Linked DNA regions of Oryctolagus cuniculus. The main gene of each other region encodes a partner of the protein of the gene in region 3 in a complex. Links are inferred from orthologs where the notes say so. Each region holds a gene or a part of one and is shown on either strand. Other genes may lie near its edges.

Region 1 (4,241 bases), on a different chromosome or scaffold from region 3:
CATTGCTCTTTAAAGCTCTTCACAGCTTACAACGCCCTTTCCTGGCCACGGTCCTAAGAATCCTCGCAGCAGCTCTGTGTTCAAAGAGGCAGGATCATATTCCCAATGTACAGATGGCAAAGCTGATGTTACAGAGGCACAATGGCTACAGCCACGAAACCAAAGCTCTAATGAGGTCACTCTCTCTCAACCAGTCCTCAGGGGACCCAGGGGCCAGCCTGGGAGCCCCGTGCATCCAGCGCAGGAGGGCAACAGGGAAGGACAGGCCACAGCTTCTCTCCACAGCCCAGCTCGGCCGACCCTGTGAGCAGCGCCCGGGGCAGCTCAATGCAGGCCAGAGACAAGAGTGACAAGGGCTGGCACTGCAGCACAGCAGATACAGCAGCGCTACGTGACCCTGGCAGCCCATTCGGAGGGCTGCTCTGCTTCTGATCCAGCTCCCTGCGAATGCGCACCTGGGAAAGCAACAGAAAATGGTCCAAGTGCTCGGGCACCTGCCACCCACGCTGGAGATCCCATTTGGGAAGTAAACCAGCAAATGGAAGATCTCACGCTCTGTCACTCTGCATTTCAAATAAAAACTTTTTAATTTAAAAATCTTCAAGATAAAGCAAGAGAGAGACAAGCCCTGCACGCCAGCCCCCCCCCCCCCCTCAGGACCTCACTGGTGCTGATGTCCTTTCAGAGCTGGCAGGGCAGGGGCACCCAGCAAGTTGGGGGCAGAGCTAGAAGGGGATCAGTTGCAAGGTTGCTTGGCTCCCGTGGGGGTGGGAGAGTCCTAAGGGTCCCCAGATTCCACAGAAGGAGCATCAGAGGCCTCGGGGGGTGGGGGAGCCTGGGCCTGGGGCCAGGGCCTGCGTGGCTGGGGTGGCCCGGCCCCACCTGCCGCAGCACTTCTCAGGTCCCCCCCCCCCCACGCACAGAGGCTTCTTGAGATGCTCTCTGACCACGATTCCCCCCTGCTCATCCGTCCACGGCTCCCGACTGCCTCTCAGAGAATCCAGGTTTTCAGCCTGCACCCCCACTCCCAGCGGCCCAGACCACAGTGCTCCGGCAGCCTGTGCCCCCTAGCAGATAAGTTTGCTCCCTGTTCCCCGTCTTTGTAACGGCACGGAGCTCTGCTGCAGGCAGCTCTTCAGCGGCGGGAGGCAGGGTAGAGGGAGCGCCCCTGCTCTCAGCTCTGCGCAGCGTGCTGGCAGCACAGAGGCGGGTGAGGGCCAGTCTCTGCCCTCCCGGAGGCCCTGTACCTGGCTCGAGGGACACAGATGATAGACATGGACTGTGATAGTCCTGGGTAAGAAGGACCAGAGCTCACAGCACCAGAAGAGGCTCCAACCTGATGGGGGTGATCAAGGAAGGCTTCCTGGAAGGGGGGGCATCTGAACTGGGGCCCTGGCTGAGCAGTTCTTCAGGTGAGGAGGATGAGAGCTGCAGGGCCTATCAGGCAGTGGGCATGGAAGATAATGTCCTGAGCCAGAGAGTGGTAACAGCCTCGTGTGCACCAGAGCAGAGGTCACCTGCTATTATTGAAGGGTGCAGTCGCCAGGTCGTGGCCAGAAGGGTTGGCAGGCTGAGGGGTTCCGAGTGGTCCTGGGGCGGGGGCACAGGGTGACGCCCGTTTCTGGAGGCTCCTTCCAGGGAGTGACACCTGTGTCCCCACCCCCAAGCTGCAGGCCGGCCCAGATAGGCACTGGGGCTGAACATGAGCCCTCAGCTTCTGTGTCATTATTAACATCCGTGTTATCATTCCCTCCTTATAAAGCAGAGTCCCATGGCGGCCAGGTGAGGCTGGGACACAGGTCTCTGAGCCTCCAGGGCTCTGGGGTAGGCAGACCCTCCTTCCTCCTCCCCCTCCCCCACAGATAACTGGCACCTCCTCGGCCTCCCCCTACCCTCAAAAGCTCACCCTCATTCCAACTTGGGTCCCAGACCCTCCGGGCGGGGGCTCAGGGAAGCCGGGGACCCTATGTTTAGAGAAACAACAGTCCTGGCCCCCACAGGTCCCTCCCCAGCAGGGCCTGGCCCTTGGGAGCGCTTTTGGAGAGTCCCAGATCTGCCGCTGGTAGCCCTAGTCCGGGGGCGGGCTTCTCTCCTAACTGACCCTTCCCACAGCCCCTGCTGCGCCCCGCCCCTGCCCCCCAGTCTTAGAGACCCCCAGGACGCGAAGGCCACCCAGAGTGGACCCCCCGCCCCGGGGGCGGACCAGCGCGCAGCGCAGCGCAGCTCCCACTGCTCTGGCCCCACTCCACACCGGCGCCCAGCCGGAGTGCGCACACACACTCCAGTTCCAAAAGTTCAGCGGCGGCCCCGGGGGCGCACGCACGCAGCGGCTCACATTCGCACGTGCCAGTGCGAGGGCCCGCGCTCTCGCTCCCGGGGTAGCTGTCCCCACTCACCGAGGTCGGCGCTCCCGGGGACACCAAGTTCAGCCTCCGTCCTCCGGTGCGCTCACACCACCCACGTCTGCCGGCTCCCCCTCTGCGCGAGTCGGCACCCGCGCCGGGTTCACCGGCCGCGTCCCCAAGCTGCGCCAGCCAACCTCTCCCGGTGTCCCGGCCCCGGCGGGCGGCCCGCCCCTCAGAGCCGCGCTCGGCCGCCCGGGGTGCGGTCGCTGCAGCTCGGGGTGGCTGGCACCCGCGTCCTGCCACCACCGCCGCGGGACCCACCGCCGCGGGACCCACGCGCCCGGGAGCCCCGCGGCCCCCGACCCGCCTCGCTCCCCACCCGCGGCCGGGCGGGGAACAGGGCGAACTCTGGACGGGCCCTGGCGCCGCCCCACAACCGCCCCGGCAGACACCGGGCCACCCGCCCCGGGACGCCGCCCAGCGCCACCGCCGCGGGGTCAGCGCGTCCGCAAGGGGCGCTGCGCCGGCAGGGGCCGGCGGCGAGAGAGCCAGCGCGTGAGGAGAGGGTTTCTCTGGCGCCGAAGCCCTGCAAGGTTTTGCCCAGCGCCTGAGCGGCCCCTGCCGCTGCCCGCTGCGGGGCCTCCGCTCCTCGCCGCTGCCCACGTCGGGCCCGCCTCAGGCCCCGTCTGACGGCGACGCGCCTCCTTTGCTTGAGGCTGCGGCTGGGGTCTTTCGCCACTGCCCTGGGCAGGAAAGCCGAGCGCCCGGCTCCGGAGTGGACGGAGGGAGCCTCCCGGTGTTCCCCGACCCTTTCTTTATCTCCCTTAGAAGTTCCCTGAACATTCCTATTTAATGAAGAAAGAGGGGCGGCGTCGGGGATGCTTCCCCCTCTCCCCAAATGCTTGCAACAGTTTGGGCTGCTTCTCTGGTCCCACATTCTGAGTAGCTTCTCAGCCGGCAGGGCGCCCCGCCCCACGTAGTGTCCGCCCCCCGCCCCCAGCCCCCCACTTCTGATCTGTGTGGGAGTAAGGCGTGAGGCTGCTGAGCCAGCTACAGACCCTTGCGAGAGCCTGGCTCCCTTCTAGTCCTCTCAGGGCCACCTTTGCTGTGAAATGGAGCCACACACATCCTCCTGCCCCCAGTGTCCTGTCACAGCACACTCCGAGTGCTCCGGGGCTGGACAAGGGCAGAGGAGCCCTCTTCCTGGAGCCAAGGAGCTGGGTCCTGCTGGGCTCCACAGCATTCAACGGGGACCCAGCTGCCAGCCCTGGGAGGGGCCCTGGGAGGGGCCCTGGGAGGGTGCTGGCTGCAGCCCTGCAAGGAGCAAGCACAGGGTGAATGCTGCTCCACCCCTGCAGCCTCCCTGGGCCCTTGTCCAGCCGCCTGCGTCTGTTGTCCGAGCTGGCCCGTGCAATTGCCAGGGCCTAGGTGTTGCCAAAGCCCCAGCTTGGGGTCTCAGTATGGGGAAGTTCCCTTGGGCCCTGGAGCCCCAGCCAAGCTTCTTTTTCCACCTCCCTCTTCCAAGTCTCTACCTTCACTACAGTCAGCTCAGGAGAAAACTCTGTCGATAGGAAGATGAGGCCCTGGCTTGGCCTTGGCCTTCAGCAGACACACCAGGCTGGCAGCTGTCCAGGGCTCTGCCCCTGCGTCCGTCCAGCTCCCTGACTTCATAGTTGAAGACGTTGCACCCTGAGATAGGCAGCCTAAGCTCCCACACCCGGCGGTCACTGAGGCTTGAGGAGCATAGGAAAGGGCCTTGTCCTCGAACCCCACCACTTTGGGTTTAGATTCCAGGCTCGGTGAAGCCACTGCTGGAGATGCCCACATCCCTTGTCGGAAGTGCCTGGTTCAAGTCCCGGATACTCTGATTGTGATCCAGCTCCCTGGGAGGTGGCA
Region 2 (4,329 bases), on a different chromosome or scaffold from region 3:
CAGGCGGTCCAGGAGGGTGGGGCATCCCCGAGGCTCTGGGGGCTGAGGGTCTGGCTCCCCTCCAGGGGCGGGCCAGGGGCTCCCTGAGCCAATGGGGAGAGATCCTGCAGCGCGGCCAGCCCAGACGTTAGCCGAGGGCCTTAGGGGAGGAAGGGCTCTCTGCAGAGCCACAGCTGGAGCTGCGTGCGCACTGCCCTGGGTCATCCGTGCCAGGCTGGACACAGCAGTTTTCACGTCCTCCCCTGTCCTGGTAGACAAAGCCCCATGGGAACGCTCGGGTGGGGTTGGAGGGCAGAGGAGGCACAGGTGGTGTGGCTGGGCACTGTGGGAGTCCAGGCCTCAGCCCGCAGCGCTGTCCCGTGATCCCTGCTGCGGGAATGGCAGGAGGAGGCGAGATCGGGTTGGTCCCAGGTGGGCCTGCTGGGTTCACAGCCCTGCCGCAGGCTTCCAGGTCACTGCTGGGGCAGACACGGATTTGGGGTGCACTCGAATTTCAGGAAGCCTCTGCCTGCAGAGGAGGCGCAGCACGCGGAGGTGGCCTTGGGCATGGGGTCCTTCCCCTCCGCTCTGCAGCTGGGGACCTGGGGCTTGTGGCCCCTCAGCTTCTGCGCGTCCAGGGCGCTGCAGGCAGCAGCCGCCCAGCACCACAAGGGGGAGAGAAACCCGTGCTGCTTCCGCGGCTTGTGGACAGGACCGGGCCAGGCTGAGCCAGGAGCCTGGGGCTCCAGCCTGGTCTCCCACGGGAGCAGCAGGGGCCCGACTACTGGGGCCATGGGCATCAGCAGGGGTCAAACCGGAAGCAGAGCGGCCGCGACCTGAACCAGCGCTGGACGCCTTGATCTGCTGTGCCAACCTGCCAGCGGCTGCTGTCCGCAGTCCTCCTGCGGCTGACTCAACCTGGGCTATCCATGCTCCGGCGCTGGCACCAGGGGCAGGCTGGGCATGGAGAGCGCCACCACGCCTGCACTGCACACTCAGGGCGGGCCCTGGGGCCTGCGGCACCAGAGCTGCAGGCTGTGTGGGCAGGGCGGTGCTGAGACCCTCGCTGCCACACGTGCATCCACACCAGCCCAACAGGAGCCTGGGCCGGCAGGAGGGACGCCCCCAAGGCCCCTGAGCCCCCTGCCCCTTGGTCCTCTGCCCGCTGCCAGGGGCAGTGACCCTGTGCTCACCACAGCCCTGGGATCAGGGTGCTGCGTCTGCATCTTGGGGACCCAGCGGGCCAGGAGTGGGGAGGGGGGAGGCCTCCCAGCTGCTCTGGCCGCCACATCACGCCCACCTGCCCTGACCCAGATTAGCGCGTGGGCCCTGGCACCCGCTCCCTAGGGATCCAACCCTGAGCCCGGGAGGAGCTGCCGTCTGCGAGCTTCGGCTTCCCGGTCAGCACACGCCCCACACCCGCACTTCCCTGCGTAGGTGCCAAGCGCCCAGCACATGCAGACCCCACTAGCTGTGCCTTCCCCAGGCCGCCGTGGGAAAGAGGTGCCGCGCCCGGCCCGGCTCTCTGATTGGCTGGCGGCTCTTGACCAGCTCCGCGATTGGCCGGTGGTGTCAGCCCCGCCTTCGCCGAGGGCACAAAAGCCGCAGCGCTCAGGGCCAGAAGTAGCCGGGTGTACCTGTTGGCCCTGCAAAGCTCGCACCCTCCCTGGTGACAGCCATGTGCCGCACCCTGAGCGCGTTCCCCGCCTCCTGCCTGGAGAGGTGAGGGGGCCTGTGGGGCCACGGGAGGTGGGGGCGGGCCAGCTCTCCGGCCTGTGGGCTTTGGACTGAGGTAGGGCGGAGGCCGCCGGCCGTGCACACAAAGGGAGCCTTCTCCGAGGCCCGAGAACCCGGATCCCTGGCAGTGCGGAGCAGGAGGCGGCAGGGGGCACTGCTGCAGACTGGAGGGCCGGCGCTGCGAGCCCCCGTGTTGGCCGAGCGCATGGGGAGCCCCTGCGAGCTCTGGGTTTATCTTGCAGAGCCAAAGAGTTCAAGGCGCGCCTGGGCGACTTCCTTCAGGGACCGGAGCTGAGCCCCCCTGCGGGCAGCGACCCCAGGAAGCCCAGCAGAGAGAGGTAGGGGCTGCAGGACCGGCTGCGGGGGTGGGGGTGGGAGGCTGCAGGGCCCCAAGCCCCTGGCGGTGACTGCAGCCAGGGCACGTGGGCCTGGCAGTGGCTCAGCCTCCAGGGCGCCTGTGCACCTGGCCGGGGAGCCCTCCCCTCCTGGGTGTCGGCTGCGCCAGGCGCTGGGCTCTGGGCATGTGGGAGTCAGGGAGCGGCGGCCTGGACACAGGACGGAGGCTGGAACTGCCCGTGGGACGGACCCCTGCGTGTGGGACTGCCGCCTGCCGCCGAGCGCCTTGTCCTGAGTGCTGGGGTTTGTGTGGGCTTGGCCGTGCCCTTGTTTTCCTGAAAATGTGACACGGTGGCTGTTTGCAGCGGGAAGCCCTCGGAAGACACGCTGGGCTGGAGGGAGTCGTTCGACCTGCTGCTGGGCAGTAGAAGTGAGTGGGGCCACGGCCCCGGGCGCCCGGCGCTGACCCCCGGGGAACACAAAGGCAGGGCCGGGGGGTGGGGGGTGACGTCCTAAGAATGGAGCCTCTGCCTGCAGCTGCTGTCTTTCCCGCTGACCCTCCCCCTCCTCCCCTAACCCCAGAGGGAGTGGCCGCCTTCCGCGCCTTCCTCAAGACGGAGTTCAGCGAGGAGAACCTGGAGTTCTGGCTGGCCTGCGAGGACTTCAAGAAGACGCGGTCGGCGGCCAAGCTGGCCTCCAGGGCCCGCAGGATCTTCGAGGAGTTCATTTGCACAGAGGCCCCGCGAGAGGTCAGCGCCCCGCAGGGCCCCTGCTCCCTCCCCACTGAGAGCCAGGCTCAGAGGCGAAGGCCAGGCTCTGAGCCAGCCCTGGGTGCTGTGCCCACGGCCGGCCTCTGTGCACCCCTAGGACACCTGCTTGGGGGCTCCACCCACCGCCCGGGGAGTTGGCCAGCTGTTGTCCCACGCCTTCCCTGGCCCCAGGTCAGCCGTCCCTCCGTGGGTTTGACAAAGTCCGTGGCGCCACCTGGTGGACAGACATGGTGACCCTTGGCTCTGCATCTGCGTTTCGTGTCTGAGCACCTCTGGTCCGGGGCTCCAGTTACACCCAGGACACCGCAGTGGTCACAGGGCCACAGCGAGAGGCCCTCCCTGCACAGTGATGCCCGGAGCCGTTGAACAGATGCCCACGGGACTGACCTGGCTCCTCCGGGGGGGAGTGTCCAGCGGCCTGTCCTGGAGGAGGCCGGCCTCTCCCCTCGTGAGGGATCAGGAGCGGCTGTCAGACACGGCAACTGCGAGGGGCAGGCACGGAGGCCAGAGTGCCGCGGGCCGAGAGCAGGGGAGGAGGGTGGGCAGGTGGGTGGGGGCGGTGGGCAGCGGACAGGGGACAGGTGGGCGGTGGGCAGGGGGCAGGTGGCAGTGGGCTGGTAGACAGGTGGTTGGTGGACAGGTGGGCAAGTGACAGATGGACAGGTGACAGGTGGGCGGGTGGCAGTGGGCAGGTGACAGGTGGCACCGTGGCTGTCCCTCTGGGTCACGGGGAGGGCAGCAGCGGTGCCCTCAGCCTGGTTGGGTCCTGGCAGGCTGGGGGGGAGCAGGGCAGCACCGGGGGCTTCTCCAGGGCTGCGCAGGCAGGGGACAGAGCGGGCTTCTCCCTCACGACGTCCTGTGTGCACCTGTGAATTGAGAGCAGGGACGCCCCTGGAGCAGGGCCGGGCCCTGGGCTGAGAAGCGGCTGGCAAGGACCCAGGAGCCCGTCCTGTCCCCCCGCTCACCGTGCCTGCCCTGACCCAGGTGAACCTCGACCATGAGACGCGGGAGCTGACCAAGAGGAACCTGGAGGGCGCCACGGCCGCCTGTTTCGATGTGGCGCAGGGCAAGGCGCGGACACTGATGGAGAAAGACTCCTACCCGCGCTTCCTGCAGTCGCCCGCCTACCGGGACCTGGCCACCGGAGCCCCACCCCGGCCTTCACACACCTGAGCCCGGGCAGCCCCCTCCCCGGGCTGCCCTCTCCCCCGCGCGGGTTCTGCAAAGCAGTGTGCAGCCATGGCAAAGGTCGGAGAGGTCACGGCTACTGGAGCCCCCTCCTCCGATACACGGACCCCACCCCGTGCACAGAGCCCCGGGCATGAAGGAGGCTGTGGGCGGGGCTCTGGGGGAGCGGCTGGGAAACACAGGGTGCCCTGGGCTGCCCAGTCCTCGCCCAGTGCAGGGAAGGGGCCCTGCAGGCGGCACGCCCTCACCTGCCCTCACCGGCCTGTGGCCACCCAGGGCCTCTGCTTGGACCGCGTGTCCAGCCCCACAGGCTCCTCCA
Region 3 (4,143 bases):
CATAATAAAACGACTGGATGAATTCCTACTGACTCCTCTGTGACCTGTGGCCCACCCTCTGGGAGGGGCTGTAGCAGAACTGCTTTAGGTACACTGTGCAGGCAAGGACAGCACTGGGCCTGCAGGAAAGGCTCTGCATAATCCACGGGCTTCTTCTCCCTTCCCCTCATGTTTTCAGCGGCTGTAAGTAAACCTGCTGGAGACTCACAAGGCTCTGGGGGAAGTCACACAGCTGCCATCTCTGGCACTTGCACACACACACGGCACTTCACGGTTCAAAAAGGGCTTCTGGGCACAAACATTCTGCTTCCTTTTTTAAATTTGAAAGAGTTAAAGGGAGAGGGGGAGGGAGGGAGGGAGAGACAGAGAGAGATATCGTCCATCTACTGGTTCACTCCCCAGATGGCCACAACAGCCAGGACCTTCTTCCGGGTCTCCCACGTGGGTGGCAAGGAGCCCAAGCTCTTGGGCCATCTTCCACTGCTTTTCCCAGGCCATTAGCAGGGAGCTGGGTGGGAAGTGGAGCAGCCCACATGGGACGCCGGCCTCACAGGCGGTAGCCTTCCTGGCTGTGCCACAGCGCCAGCCCCACATTCCGCTTCCTCACTAGGGAGCTGGCAGCTGCAGCAATGGGCATGTTTCTTCAGCCCTCTCTGAATCTCTGCAGGTGCACTCCCTAGAGGCAGAGGGTGTTCCCATCTCCTTGACTCTGAGGATAGTCACAGGCCTTGCCGTGGCCCACGGAACGGCGTGGGGGCAGCAGCTTGTCCCTAAGGCAGCCCTGGGGTCTCCGTGTACTCGGGGCCTATATCATCATTGTGAACCTGCCCAGCCTTCCCCATTCACCCCAGAAAGAGGAGCTGGGGTGCATGGCACAGAGCTGAACCCACCCTGGGTCTTTGATCCTCAGCTGAATCAGTGACTCAGTTTGGGGAGGCCTGTTAGCATTGCCGCAGCAGTGCCAAGCACTCTAAGTACGTAATCCCCATTTGATAGGTGGGGAGCCTCGGAGCTCCAGAGAGGAAGGCACTCGGCTAAGGCCACGGTGCGACTGGCAGAGCTGGCACTCGAGACTCAGAGCCTTCTGCCTCCACGGCCGCCGCTGGGGGCAGAGCTATGCGTGCTGAGAGCAGTCAGGGCCCACACCTCTGATGGCAATGACACCTGATGGAGGAGCTGGGAGTGGGGCGGCAGGCCCTCTGGGGTGGAGGTGTTGTCCTCGGGCTGGGTGCAGTGGTTATCACTGGACGATTGGTCCACTGCGAGCCCGCCGATGAAGGCCGAGGAGAGGCAGACTACACGGCCCAGGACACGAGTGGGAGGTACTGAAAACCCACAGGCCTTTTTTGAGGGCGGGAGAGACACAAAGGGAGGGAAGTCAGCAGGCGTGTGGTCAGCAGGTTTCCGTATCGAAGGGGTGGGGCAAAGCCCTCTAGGCCTGCTGGCCACACAGCCACTCAGGTGGAGGGTCTGTCCACGGCACAGGGTCAGTGGAAGGGTTGTGGCAGTGGTGCCCCTGCCTGCCCAGGGAAGGAAGTTGCCCCTGGCCTGGAGGCTGGCCAGACACGCCAACCCTGCTCACTCAAATCCGGTTCCCTGGGGACAGCGTCCTGAATGCCCAGCCCTTGGGTTCCCAAGTCACCCCCAGCTGACAATGCGGGGCTGCCCAACGAGACAGCCTGGCTCCCCAGGGTCAGCACTGGGCTGCTGAGTGCCTGCCCTGGCGGTGGTGACCTGAAAGGTGGCCGTGGGGCCTGGGCTCTGGGTGCCTCAGGGAGGCAGTGGTGACTCAGGGAGGCGTGGGCTGGAGAGCAGGGGTGGGGCCTGCACCTGGGGCTAGGAACAGAGCGAGGCCTGTGAGTCAGGGCACTGCCCCCACCCTGCCCCCCGGTGCCTGGCTGACCTCGGGCAGTCTGGTGCTGTCCCAGGCCAGAGACTCGGCCAAGTCTTCCAAGCTTCCTCCTGGGGCCCCGCTGTCAGGGTCTCGGGCAGCCCAGTTAGAAGGCGGCAGCATCCAAGTGCCAGGGGAGAAACACCCCCCGCTGGGCACCCCAGAGCCATGGTGCTACGGGGGCAGTGTGGTTCTCTCTTCAACTCTGTGCTTTCTGCTCCTGGGCTCGCTCCTTGAGGGGCGACTGGAATGGATGCCCTCCACGGTGGGGGGGGGGGGGCGGGGGGAGCTGCATTTGATGATTCCTGGACTCTGCCGCCCAGCCCGTGGGCCAGAGCCCTCCTCCCTGCCTCACCTCCTCATTGCCCTGTGCAGGGGCCGGGGCGTGGTCCTGTGCGGCAGCACCCTTCGGCTTCCTGTTTTGCTCCTCATCTGGCGGCACCGCTACGGGCCCAGCTTCTGGAACCCATAGGCCTGGAGCCCTGCCGGACCGATCCGCCTTGAAGCCTCCCAGGTCCGGGGTGTGGTGCCTCCGTCCTGCCTCTCTTCTGTTTCCCGCCAGGCCAGAGGCTGTCGGTTTCCTCCTAACATCAACTCTCCCCTTCTCCTTCCGGACAAGAAGCCCAAGAAGGAAACACACTGATGGCCACAGACTACATTTCCCGTTTTGCAGCGGGGCGTCCTTGGGACTGGTTCTGTGCAATGAGATGTACGCTGAAAGGCAGCGACGGGTTTTAAAGGGAAGGGGCACCCTATTTCTCTTACTTCCTCCTCCTAACGCCCAGAACTTGGGTGTGATGGCTGGAGCTCTCCAGCCGACTTGCATCATGAAGACAAGGTCCGATCCTAGGGAGAGTGGGACAAGGATCTCCAACCAGCCTGGCTGGAGGAGGTGCGGCACTATCTGGAGTCAGACCGGCATTATTTTAACGGTTTTTCTTTTGTCCACTTAAATTTCTATCTTCAGCTCTCTGCTGTGGCCAGGGAGTGCAGTGGAGGATGGCCCAAGTGGTTGGGCCCTGTACCCCATGGGAGACCAGGAGAAGCACCTGGCTCCTGCCTTCGGATCAGCGCGGTGTGCCGGCCGCAGCGCGCTGGCCATGGCGGCCATTGGAGGGTGAACCAACGGCAAAGGAAGACCTTTCTCTCTGTCTCTCTCTCTCACTGTCCACTCTGCCTGTCAAAAAAAAAAATTCTATCTTCTCAAAGCCGCTATTTTCAGGGTCTCTGGTTCACTGTCAAACCTAACCCTCATGGGTACAGTAATACTCCTGCTTAAATTCTTCCGATAGGTTCCCATCATTCCTAACTCGCAAACTCCTCACTGAGGCCTTACGAAGTCCCTGCCTCTTTCTGTGTCCTAAAACCCTCTCAGAGCTCCGGTCCTTCTTCCGCTCCCCAAACGAGCCGGGGCAGCCCCAGCCCACCTCCCTCTCAGCGTCCCCTTCTCAGCGAAGCCCTCCCCTGGCCCCAGGCCAAGCTGCTCCACAGGGTGCACCCATTCCTGTCCCAGCTGCTGCTGCTTGCACCTGTCCTCAGGGCAGGGACTGTGTCCCGACCTCACGTGGCACCTTGGGCCTTGCAGTGCTTTGTGCATGGCCAGGGCAAACAGATCTCCTGCACTGTAAGGCCAGGCACGCCCCACTTTCTGACTCCGCCGCCCCCATCTGTCCACTGCCTCTTCTTATCTTGTCGGTCTGGACAAAGCTGGCATCTCACTTCAACATCGCAGCCGCCCTACTGGGGTGGGCACCCTGTGTGCGTGGGTGACTCGCTCAGGGTCACACAGCTAGTCAACAGGAGGGCCTGGACTCAAAGTCCACCTTCTCCCCGGCATCCCGAGCCACAGCCCTGGGCTTGTGTCTCAGACAAGGCCTGGTCACCCGAGGCCAGCACTGAGGCCTCCCTGGCGCTCAGCCCAGCCCCTTGAGCAAGGGGGAGGGAGGCTTGGAAGGGAAGGGGGGCTTTAGTGCCCAGCCTAACAAGCAATGGACAGAACCAGAGGAGGCCTTCGTCCCCCCCCCCCTATCTGCATGCCTCGGGGCCAGGGCTCCTGCTGAGCTCGGCCTTCCCATCCCGAGCGCCTCCTGGGCCAATAGCAGGGGGTGTTTCCCAGCATCCTCCCTGCTACAGCCCCTGTGCACCGCTGTGCACTCCCCCTGAGGCAGAGCACACCTGCTGTCCAGGCATCTGAGCTATGACTAAAGACAGGAGTGCGGCCAGGGCAGACTCGCTGGGTGCTGGGGTCTGAG

What was found. Proteins that work in one complex are often made in the same cells at the same time.
Region 1: the proteins of GNAO1 (region 3) and P2RY2 are in contact, whole or in part, in a cryo-EM structure (PDB 9K20), measured with the Homo sapiens proteins. The link is inferred for Oryctolagus cuniculus from reciprocal best matches to the Homo sapiens genes GNAO1 and P2RY2. Residues at the interface, in NP_066268.1 of Homo sapiens: Ala31, Lys32, Asp33, Val34, Leu195, Gln305, Glu309, Glu318, Ile319, Tyr320, Cys321, His322, Met323, Val334, Phe336, Thr340, Asp341, Ile343, Ile344, Asn347, Leu348, Gly350, Cys351, Gly352, Leu353, Tyr354; in NP_002555.4 of Homo sapiens: Asn66, Ser68, His130, Arg131, Gly134, Val135, Pro138, Leu139, Leu142, Arg143, Met221, Arg224, Leu225, Ala229, Tyr230, Gly231, Thr232, Ser233, Pro237, Ala239, Lys240, Lys242, Ser243, Arg245, Thr246, Leu308.
Region 2: the proteins of GNAO1 (region 3) and RGS16 are in contact, whole or in part, in a crystal structure (PDB 3C7K), measured with the Mus musculus proteins. The link is inferred for Oryctolagus cuniculus from reciprocal best matches to the Homo sapiens genes GNAO1 and RGS16. Residues at the interface, in NP_034438.1 of Mus musculus: Glu64, Asp65, Gln68, Ser75, Arg86, Thr117, Val180, Lys181, Thr182, Thr183, Gly184, Ile185, Val186, Gln205, Arg206, Ser207, Glu208, Lys210, Lys211, His214, His236, Glu237, Asp238, Glu239; in NP_035397.2 of Mus musculus: Glu85, Phe86, Ser87, Glu89, Asn90, Glu124, Ala125, Pro126, Glu128, Val129, Asn130, Asp132, His133, Glu134, Leu161, Lys164, Asp165, Ser166, Arg169, Lys172.

Annotation. Positions count from the first base shown.
Region 1 is NC_091432.1:64,598,813-64,603,053, reverse strand, and holds the start of P2RY2 (P2Y purinoceptor 2), read right to left. Parts: upstream 2,803-4,241; 5' UTR 2,397-2,802; intron 1-2,396. UniProt on the Homo sapiens protein: Receptor for ATP and UTP coupled to G-proteins that activate a phosphatidylinositol-calcium second messenger system. The affinity range is UTP = ATP > ATP-gamma-S >> 2-methylthio-ATP = ADP.
Region 2 is NC_091444.1:912,904-917,232, reverse strand, and holds RGS16 (regulator of G-protein signaling 16), read left to right. Parts: upstream 1-1,527; 5' UTR 1,528-1,657; coding exon 1,658-1,701; intron 1,702-1,958; coding exon 1,959-2,054; intron 2,055-2,417; coding exon 2,418-2,482; intron 2,483-2,634; coding exon 2,635-2,801; intron 2,802-3,806; coding exon 3,807-3,995; 3' UTR 3,996-4,130; downstream 4,131-4,329. UniProt on the Homo sapiens protein: Regulates G protein-coupled receptor signaling cascades. Inhibits signal transduction by increasing the GTPase activity of G protein alpha subunits, thereby driving them into their inactive GDP-bound form.
Region 3 is NC_091449.1:40,103,759-40,107,901, reverse strand, and holds the start of GNAO1 (guanine nucleotide-binding protein G(o) subunit alpha), read right to left. Parts: upstream 2,812-4,143; 5' UTR 2,721-2,811; coding exon 2,247-2,720; intron 1-2,246. UniProt on the Homo sapiens protein: Guanine nucleotide-binding proteins (G proteins) function as transducers downstream of G protein-coupled receptors (GPCRs) in numerous signaling cascades.